Linked DNA regions of Caenorhabditis elegans. The gene in region 1 interacts genetically with each later gene. Each region holds a gene or a part of one and is shown in the gene's direction. Other genes may lie near its edges.

Region 1 (5,406 bases):
TTCTCGATACACGAAGAAACATGCGATATATGTTAATCATAAAACCTTCTAACTTTTTATGTCAGTTTCTATTCTCTTCTCGATTCTCTTTACTTACGAATTCTCTTTCTTCTTCTACCCTTCATCTGTTTTGCTCGTTGTGCAATTGTCAGGAGACATTTAATCCGAGTTAATCAAGAATTTTCGAAATTTATCTGAATCCGATTTTGTTTCTCTTCAAAGTCAGAAGAAATCATAAAAATAATATAAAAGAGGAAGAGGATTATACAAATTTAGAAACATTATTCATTCTTTTTAATCATGATATCTCAAAGGATGTTGTTTACTTCAACTTTTGAAAGGATTTTATAGATAAATTGTTATGATTATTTACTTGTTTTGTTTCTTCCTCCAGTATTTAATCTGTGGTCACTTCGTGGTCTTCAAGGCTTTAGGTTCAGCTCATTTTGGTTGTTTAATAGTAAGTCATATGATACGAAGATTCACAGAATGATTTGATAATAATAATAATACGAAATCTCTTTTTCTATAATATTCTCAGAATGTCATACTTCTATAGAATTTATAAATACATTATTACTGTTTTGAAAACCTTTTTTTCCTAATCTATTCGCCGTCAATTTGGCGTTCTTCTAACATTCAGTATTCGAAATCAATGTTCAAAATTTGCTTAGAGAACACCCCAAAATTAGGTTCCGTCCATATCTTGGCTTTTTTCGCCGCCAGATTCAGAAAAAAACTGATTTTCTGTGAGTTCTATTCTATTTTTTTAATTTCTTAAACAATTGGAAATGGTACAGTGTGTTATAAAATAGTTTATTTATTCTGGTTCCTCATGAGAGCACCTCAATAAAAAGTAGTGACGTACATCCATCTGAAACAAAAATAACAATATGACGCCTTCTTAGTAGTACTTATGTTAGTTTCTATTAATGGACTTTTTTTTAAAATAAAAACTCAAAATAGTCAAAGAAATTCTAAAAATGGACATTTGCTAAAATTTAAGAGAAACGATTTCAAAAGATGAAATTATACTTTCCTCCCAACTTTTTTGCTTTTGATAAATTGCTGGCCGAGTTATAACTATTTCTAGGTCACGTATCAGAAGCCGGGTGAGTCTTGAGATCTTCGTGATGCCTTGTCATATCTAAATGAACGAAACTTGAATAAATTAATTAGGAGTCATCGGCTTCATTGAGTTCAGAAAAATTCTGTATAAAACAAAATCAAGATTCAGGTAAATATCTAGATTTTCGATCATTTTGGAACCGCGTTCCTGATATCGAAAAAACTTCGAATCCATTTAAAAGTTGAATAAATCAAATGAAAACTTCCTCTCATTTTTCTTCATTTCTCTCTCTATTTTTCCTTGATTTTATAGGTGATGACGATTCTGATCAACACAAAAATCTTATCACAAACTGTTGTTTCTTATCATTTTTTACACGTTCATACCAGTTTTCATTCCGAGTTCTTGAATTTCATAATTCTTTCATTTCGCCTTTCTATGTAGATATTGAAACTCCGCCCATTTGAGTAGCTCACCTGACTCTTATGACTTACCAGAAGGTTCTATTATCATTTTGGATATAATTCTGTTTTCTGATTCAAATTTTTTTTGAATTTCGGCAATGCACAACGAAAAATATTAATTTCATATATAAAATCATCTGTACTATTTATTATTCTTTATCCCAAATCAGTCCTTTTTTGTGGTCGTTGCTTTTTAAGCTCGGCCCATTTTTTTGGATTTTATTCTAGCCTAACATCTCCTCCCATATTTTTTTTAATTCTTCGAAATTTCAGTTTTAAAACTACGAAAATGGACGATTTTCCTTCACCAGAACCTACTGATCCCAGACTTGAGGCAATGGCTCAAAAAGTGTTAGAAGAAACTATTATCACTGAAGGAGATGTATGTTTTTGAAGATTTGAAACTTTTTTTTTGAATTTTCAACACAAATAGTCTCGCTGGCTACTTTTAAAAATTAAAAAGCCATCTGCAAATTTTAAATTTCATATTCTAGGCCAGCCGGCGAGCAAGTAAGTGAACAAGAAACTTTAAAAAAGAGCAGAGTTGAGAGATACCGTATCTTGATCAAACATCAAATGTCCAGACATATTAGCGAATTTTTATTTTAAAATATTTAGAATCAACCTACATAAACATTAACTTATACGTTTTCTAATTTTAGAATGTGTCTCTCAAATTAGCCTTTTCTTTTAAAACAGGAAACAATTTTTTTTCAAAAATAGTAATACTTAAAGAAACTGAAAGGATATTTACGACAAAAGGTTTTAATGTATGTTGGAGACTCGAAAAGATCCAAAAAAAAAATAAAGAGAAAATTACAGGAAAAGAGAAAAGCCCATATCTTGTTTTTTAAATTTTGTTATAGTAAACTTTTCCTAAGAAATTCAAATCCTTAAAATTGCCCTATTTGAAGTGTCAAGCTATCCTCAACTATTTTTTAGGGAACAATCTACTGGGCTCTCAAAGTTACCCGATTACTCTCTAGAGTAGCTAAAAAACACCAGTGCTTTGAAGCTTTCTACGATGCCGTTATTAAAGGTGATCCAAAAACACGATGCTGTCCTGCACACAATGAGAAACTCATTGGAAACTTTGGACGAGCTATCATGTGTGTCTTGAGAGCATTCAGATTTCCGGTTATTCGATATGAATCTCAAGTGAAATCAATATTAACGTGTCGACATGCATTCAATTCCCATAGTCGGAATGTTTGTCTGAATCCGTATCATTATCGATGGGTTGAACTACCGACGTGCCAAGTTCCACCAATTATTGTAAATAAGGAATTGGATTACGGTGAACCTCCGATTCGGACTGAGGATGCACTGGATGATTGGAATCAAAAGGATTTGAAAGAGGAACAGGTGGTTGCAAGTTGGGATGTGCCAAATGTGACGATGAGAGGAGATGAAATTAAGGTTTGTTGAGAGATGATATCCCTTTTTGAACTCTTTCCAAAATGCAAAATCCAGTAAATAAGTTGCAATTAATCTTTTTTTTTCTTTAGAAATTTTGGAAATTTGCAAACTTACCAAAAACGTTGACTGAAATATTTGCACGTATTTCTACAAAACATCCACTGTCACCCCCTCACATTCAAAAATAAAAATTTCAGCTTCTCTATGATCGATATGCAGCTGAAAACGGAGATTTTCAATATATGAATTACGGAAATTTTGGCTCTTTTGATGGAAGTCCGTGTAGCTCTACCACGATGTCATTAGGATCATCTTTCGCATCGTTACTGCAACAAAGTAATCGACAAGACGACGAGGAACCCGGATATTATAGATCTGGACTCTCATCTCCAGCTAGGTACGAATTTCACTTTTTTGGAATTTTTTTGTTTTTACAATACTGATTCAACAATCTAAAGAACTGGCTAAACTGAAAGTAGAATTCGAAATTCGACCTAAAGGTTGAAAAAAAAATTAAATTTGGCGGTCGGGCCGACGAAACTGTTGAATATTGGAAAAAATTGAAATATTAGTTTAGATCTATAAAACTTTAAATTTACAGTCATGCAGCTTCTCCTCGAGAGTTTATTCCAAACGGAAATGATACAATAAGTCTGGATCAAGAAATGATGGATGATTCCGAAGTTAGTGACATCATGCATTCCGAGAATTTTTCATCAGAGAACAATGGAAACCGAAAGCCAACGTATGCAGATGGACGGCCTATCACACCAATTGAACCTCGACCACTCTATCGATCTTCGGCATTAGAACTTGGAGATCTGTCACGACAGGCTGGAATATATGAATGTGTAGAATATGAAGAGTCGCCGAGTTGGCTGAAATTAATTTATTATGAAGAAGGAACGATGATTGGAGAGAAAGCCGATGTAGAAGGGCATCACTGCCTGATCGATGGATTTACAGCTAGTCGCACTGACTCAGAAACCAGAAGGTTTGTATCATTGACAGAAGCCCTGGTCTAGAACTTACACGCATCTGAATTTTAACTACATTCACTAGTGTACACTGAACTAAAACATAAATTCAAGTAAATATCAAAATAACATCATTACAGCCGTTTCTCGCTTGGTTGGTACAACAATCCAAACCGCTCTCCACAAACGGCCGAAGTTCGTGGTCTCATTGGAAAGGGTGTTCGATTTTACTTGTTAGCTGGTGAAGTCTATGTAGAGAATTTGTGCAATATTCCTGTTTTTGTACAGTCAATCGGTGCAAATATGAAGAATGGTTTCCAATTGAATACTGTATCAAAGTTGCCTCCAACTGGAACTATGAAAGTTTTTGACATGAGATTATTCTCCAAACAGCTGAGAACAGCAGCTGAGAAGACATATCAAGGTGAGAGTGAATTAGTAATTTCTATTATATCATATTACTTTTCGTCCAAAGTACGGCTATTGTGCGATATATCAAAATTGTCAACTAAAAATAATTTATAAAAAGTTTTTGACATTTTTTGGTGTATAGTTTTTACCGATGCAACTTTCGGAGAATACGAATTCTCAAACCTTCTAGTCAGCTACATTTTTTTTCTTCCAACATTTCAGACGTCTACTGTCTCTCACGAATGTGCACAGTTCGTGTTTCGTTCTGCAAAGGTTGGGGAGAACACTATCGTCGTTCAACCGTCCTCCGATCGCCTGTTTGGTTTCAGGCTCATTTGAATAATCCGATGCATTGGGTCGATAGTGTACTCACTTGTATGGGAGCTCCACCACGTATATGTTCATCCAGAACTTAGCTTCTTTCTTTGCCAAAATCCTAATCTCCAATTTGCGTGTGATCAATTTTGTTGATAGAGAAAGGTTTTTATTTTACTCTAAAACATCAAAACGAGTTTTAAAATTTTTTATTTAAAAATTTAGATTTTAAACTTTTTCTGTGTATTTTTACATTGTTTTTGAGGGCTTTAGAACTGCTCGAGATTTCTTTTTGCAGCTTTTAAACGACTTATGTCAACTTTAAAAGTGTTTACAGTAGCCAAATATTCTAGAATCCTTGGAAATGTAATTTTGGTCTGATTTTTTCCGATCGAGCTTGATGGATTAAATTTAATATTATCAAAAAAAAAAACACTTTCAAAAAGCTGCCAGGATATTCACTTAAATATAAACCCCCTAAAATCCTTGGAAATCATCAAAATAGTTATCCGAGCAGTTTTACGTCCGTCGAAAGTAGTGCACAGTTACGCTTAAAATGTTTCAGATCGAAATTTTATTTATCCAGAAAGTGGCTTAGAGTTTTACAGTGATCTGTTTTCAATAAGTAATTTAGTATTTAAAAAAAGTTTCGTTTTGATATTGGAGCGTGAAATCAAAACCTTTTCTTGCGAGAGTGGAGCACTTTACTTGTGAAAGGATCGGTTGAAAGGAGGAGGTTCTAAGAATTGTA
Region 2 (4,180 bases), on another chromosome or scaffold:
TAAAGTTAATTTATTTCATAGTTTTTTTGCGAAAAAATGTTTCTTATACCAAAAATAACAATATAAACACATAAATATTAACGAATCGTGAGAAAAAGTAGAAAAAATTGATAAAAAATTCTGCAGGAGCGAGAGATTGAAAATACTGTACTTTTTAAAGGCGCACACTTGTTTGTTATCTACGAAACACTGTCGTGTCGATACCGAGAACCGCATTTACGGGTGTGCGCCTTTAAAAATTACTGTAACTTAAAACTTTTGTGGTATTTTTATCGACTTTTCATGGTTTTTATGTCTTCATATCGTTTTTTTTTGATAATTTTTATTAAAAAAACAAATATATTACCTGCTGTGGTGCACGAACAGTTCTTGTTGATGACGTGCTGGCATGATCTTTGCGAGATCTCTCGCTCTTCAGACATCCACGACTTGAAGAGGAACCGTCAGTTTCAGCCCCGGTTTTGTCTGAAAAAAATAAATTATTGATTTTTATTCAATCTGAATGAAAAATTCGAATTCTTACCATCATTATCCAGTGAAACATCAGATTCGTCAGAAGTGTTATCGAAGAGTCGTCGCGCAGGAGCATCTGGCACATTAACGCCATTATTTGCTGGGTTTCCAAAATTTGAAGATGATGGAATGTCTTTGTTCTGTTCTTCCGATTGAGACATGTTGTAGAATGGTGGAAGACGAAGAAGATGATAAGAGTGACAGTTTAATTACTGAAAATGTGCGAAATTTTATATAGTTTTATTTATTTAGGAAACAGATAGTGAAAGTTTGGGAGGAGTTGAACAGTATAAAATAAGAATGACAGGCAGAATGGCTGGGTAAATATTATTCAAATACAAGTATTTTCAAAATTCCGCAAATTTGAACAAGTTTTCATTTAAAAAACACATTTCGAACGGAAAATTTGGGTAAAAGAAAGCTTGGAACATAGTGAAAAAGGACTTTGCGAACAAATAAATTAAAATTTGCTTGATTTCAATTTGTTTTTTTCATTTTTTACAGAAACAACAAATTTCACAGCAGCGTTCTCCTGACTATCACACTTTTTTTTTGAAACAAAAACGAATAAAACAAGCTTGAAATAAAACTTTTGGTACCCAGACGTCTCTGGCCCCAAAAAATTTAAGTTGACGGGTGTCGACAGAGGGAAATGAGTGGCTTTTGGAAGGAGACCTGGGGCCACCAGTCAGCTTCTCGCTTCTTTTTTTTTCTCTAGCACTCTCTCAACTTTACAATACACTCTACGCGCTGCTGCAACTTTTCTGTCAAGTTGTCTGCCGTCTCTTCAGTTGAACTTGGTTTACTTTCGTGGCGAGACACATCAAAGTGACGGCCGACATGTGCCTTTGAGGCTGATGAAATTATTCCCGCAATTTCCAGAAATTTTTGCACTGATTCTGAAATAAAATGACGTTGCAATCTTTAATTTTACTCTTCGTTGTTCAAAAACTTTTCAATTTTATTCTCGTTACAATATTTCACTCTTCATTGACCAAATTTCGCAAATAGAGCGCTTAAATTCAGATTTTAAGTTAAGCATTTAAAATTAATACTCTTTTTTTTTAATAATAATAATAATTTATTACGCTCGCTGGGAGACGTGAAGGAATATAGAATACAAAAGTTATCATTGTTCGCTCGAACTAGAATTGGTGCAGTCGGGCAATCGTTTCCATTCCATTAGAATGTTGTCCTTGTCCTTGCGTTGTCCTTGCGTAGACTCCCCCATAGTGGGCGAGCGATTCCCGAGTGAAAATAATCACGGAATGCCATTTTTAAGCGATGCCATTTTCTATTTCTTGAACTATATATTTTTAAGAATATTTTAATCTGCGCTTTATCATGGATTTTCAATTCAACTTTATATTACTTTTCTAACTTCAATATAAAATTATTTAATAAATATATTTTTATTTTTAAGAAAATGTCCGAGGAGATCAAGCCTTCTGCTCCAGATGCGCCGACTGCTTCGCCAATTGTGACCAGAGACGAGCAAAATTTGGTTGTCTCATTCCTTCAGTTTATCCGCCAGAAGGTTTCACAAAATCAGGCCACTGCCGAGCAAGCGGAAGCTCTTGAAGGTTTTTTCCTATTTATTTCTATAAATTTAGCTTAAGATATATTAAAATTTCAGTTGCAATTCAATGTCTCGAACACTCGTTTGGTCTTGATGATGCCTCATACGCTTTCCAACCATCACGCCCAATTCTCGAACTTTTCAAGAGCGCCGAAGGACTTCCAGAGGGAGAATCTGCTCTTCCAACACCGAGCGATAGTGATATTTCTCAAGCTAACAAGCTTAAAGAAGAAGGAAACGATTTAATGAAAGCCTCCCAATTTGAAGCTGCTGTTCAAAAGTACAATGCCGCCATCAAGCTCAACAGAGATCCAGTCTACTTCTGTAACCGCGCTGCTGCTTATTGCCGCCTGGAACAATATGATTTGGCCATCCAAGATTGTCGTACAGCTCTTGCCCTTGATCCATCTTACTCAAAAGCTTGGGGAAGAATGGGTCTTGCATATTCTTGCCAAAACAGATATGAGCATGCCGCTGAGGCATACAAGAAGGCTTTGGAGCTTGAACCAAATCAAGAGAGTTACAAGAATAATTTGAAAATTGCTGAAGACAAATTGAAGGAGCTGGAAAGCTCGCGACCGGCACCAGGTGCCAATCCATTGGCTGGGCTTTTGGGAGCCATGGGAGGAGGACCGGGAGGAATGCCGGCTATGCCAGGAATGCCAAACATGCAAAACCTTATGAACGAGCCAGGACTTATGCAAGCTGCTTCACAGATGATGAGCGATCCAGCACTTTCTGATATGGTAAGTATCAAATTTTCGGGAATAAAAGATTTAATTGAAATGGCAATGCACGTGGCCGTCAAAATTAATTGTTTTTCATTATTATTGCTTGTTTTTTGATGATGTATGCTCTAAAATATTGAATTTTTCAGTTCAACAACATGATGTCTGGAAATGGATCAATCGCTGATTTGATGGCTGCTGGCCAGCAAATGGCTGCTCGCATGCAAGAGACCAATCCAGAACTTATTGAAAATCTTCGACGCCAATTCGGCCCCGGAGCCGATGGAGGAGCACCACCACCAAACCCACCACAATAGATAATCTCTTCCGCCAATCTCCTTCCGCATCACGAATTTCCATTTCGTTATCTCTCTCTCTCTCTCTTTCCCCTTCTCTCGTCTTTACTTTCTGCTCTCATGTGATTTGAAAAAGCCGAAGTCGCTTATGGTTACTCGTTTTTTTTAGTTTCTCTCGCAGAATTTCCCCTTACAATGATGATGTTATAATCGCCCCCGATTCAAGCCTTATCGAAATATTGTTTTTAATTAGATGGTCATGTTTTAACTACCAACAAAAAATTGGGTCAATTTTCTTTTTTTTCACGAATAATAAATATTGTCGAAATATTCTTTCCATCACAGACACACTGGTTGCAAACGCGCTCCAACACGAAATTATCGATTTGCACCCAAACGAAAGATAGCGCGGGAGTACTCACATTTTCTTTATTTTTGATTTTTTTGTTGAAATATTTTAGTATTAAATTAAACAATTTAAATTGTAAAAAACCTCAAATTTGAAAATAAATTCAGAATGCAACGCCACGAAAGGATTCGATTTTTCATAACTGAACAATGTCGTAATCTGGATCCAACGTATAGAAATTATGTAGGAATTTAATTTTCTGTCAATCTAAATTCTTTTAAAAGTTATTTTCAGATGTACCCGAAACAAATTCTTCTCGGTGACGTTCCTCTACCACTTCTCCCTAATTCTTCACTGACGTTTCGAGTCAATTCAGCTGTAAGTAGAAAATTTATTGCGTGACGAGCATTATTGTGTTTTAAAAACTCTAAAAATGATCAAATAAATTTAATTTTTTTTAGGAAAAAATCTGCTTCCGTATTCGACTTTCGATTGATGACAGCCAGGAACCATTGAATATTGGAATTCCATTATCACAAGTTGAAAGTGTTTCAATTAAAGATCATAGTGCGAAACATCCAGAACCTGCTCTTCTTTTTTTACTTAAGAAAGGAGCTTTAGAGAGATTTATTCAGGTACACTATAATTTTTTCGATTTTCGCACGACAAATTTTTGTAAAATGAAAGAAGGTGTGCGCCTTTGAAAAGAGTACTG

Evidence for each region.
Region 2: of daf-8 (region 1) and sgt-1, changing one enhances a phenotype caused by changing the other (phenotypic enhancement), as found in Caenorhabditis elegans (one study listed by BioGRID).

What each region holds. Positions count from the first base shown.
Region 1 is NC_003279.8:8,583,906-8,589,311, reverse strand, and holds daf-8 (Smad protein daf-8), read left to right. Parts: upstream 1-1,804; 5' UTR 1,805-1,822; coding exon 1,823-1,915; intron 1,916-2,475; coding exon 2,476-2,952; intron 2,953-3,149; coding exon 3,150-3,349; intron 3,350-3,553; coding exon 3,554-3,946; intron 3,947-4,069; coding exon 4,070-4,353; intron 4,354-4,562; coding exon 4,563-4,756; 3' UTR 4,757-4,888; downstream 4,889-5,406. UniProt on the Caenorhabditis elegans protein: Probably a receptor-regulated SMAD (R-SMAD) that is an intracellular signal transducer and transcriptional modulator activated by TGF-beta-like daf-7 signaling.
Region 2 is NC_003280.10:4,901,553-4,905,732, reverse strand, and holds sgt-1 (SGTA homodimerization domain-containing protein), read left to right. Parts: upstream 1-1,936; 5' UTR 1,937-1,939; coding exon 1,940-2,096; intron 2,097-2,149; coding exon 2,150-2,838; intron 2,839-2,969; coding exon 2,970-3,137; 3' UTR 3,138-3,445; downstream 3,446-4,180. Other genes in the region: btbd-10 (BTB domain-containing protein), read right to left, coding at 347-465, 524-674; R05F9.9 (MSP domain-containing protein), read left to right, coding at 3,634-3,708, 3,760-3,843, 3,927-4,100.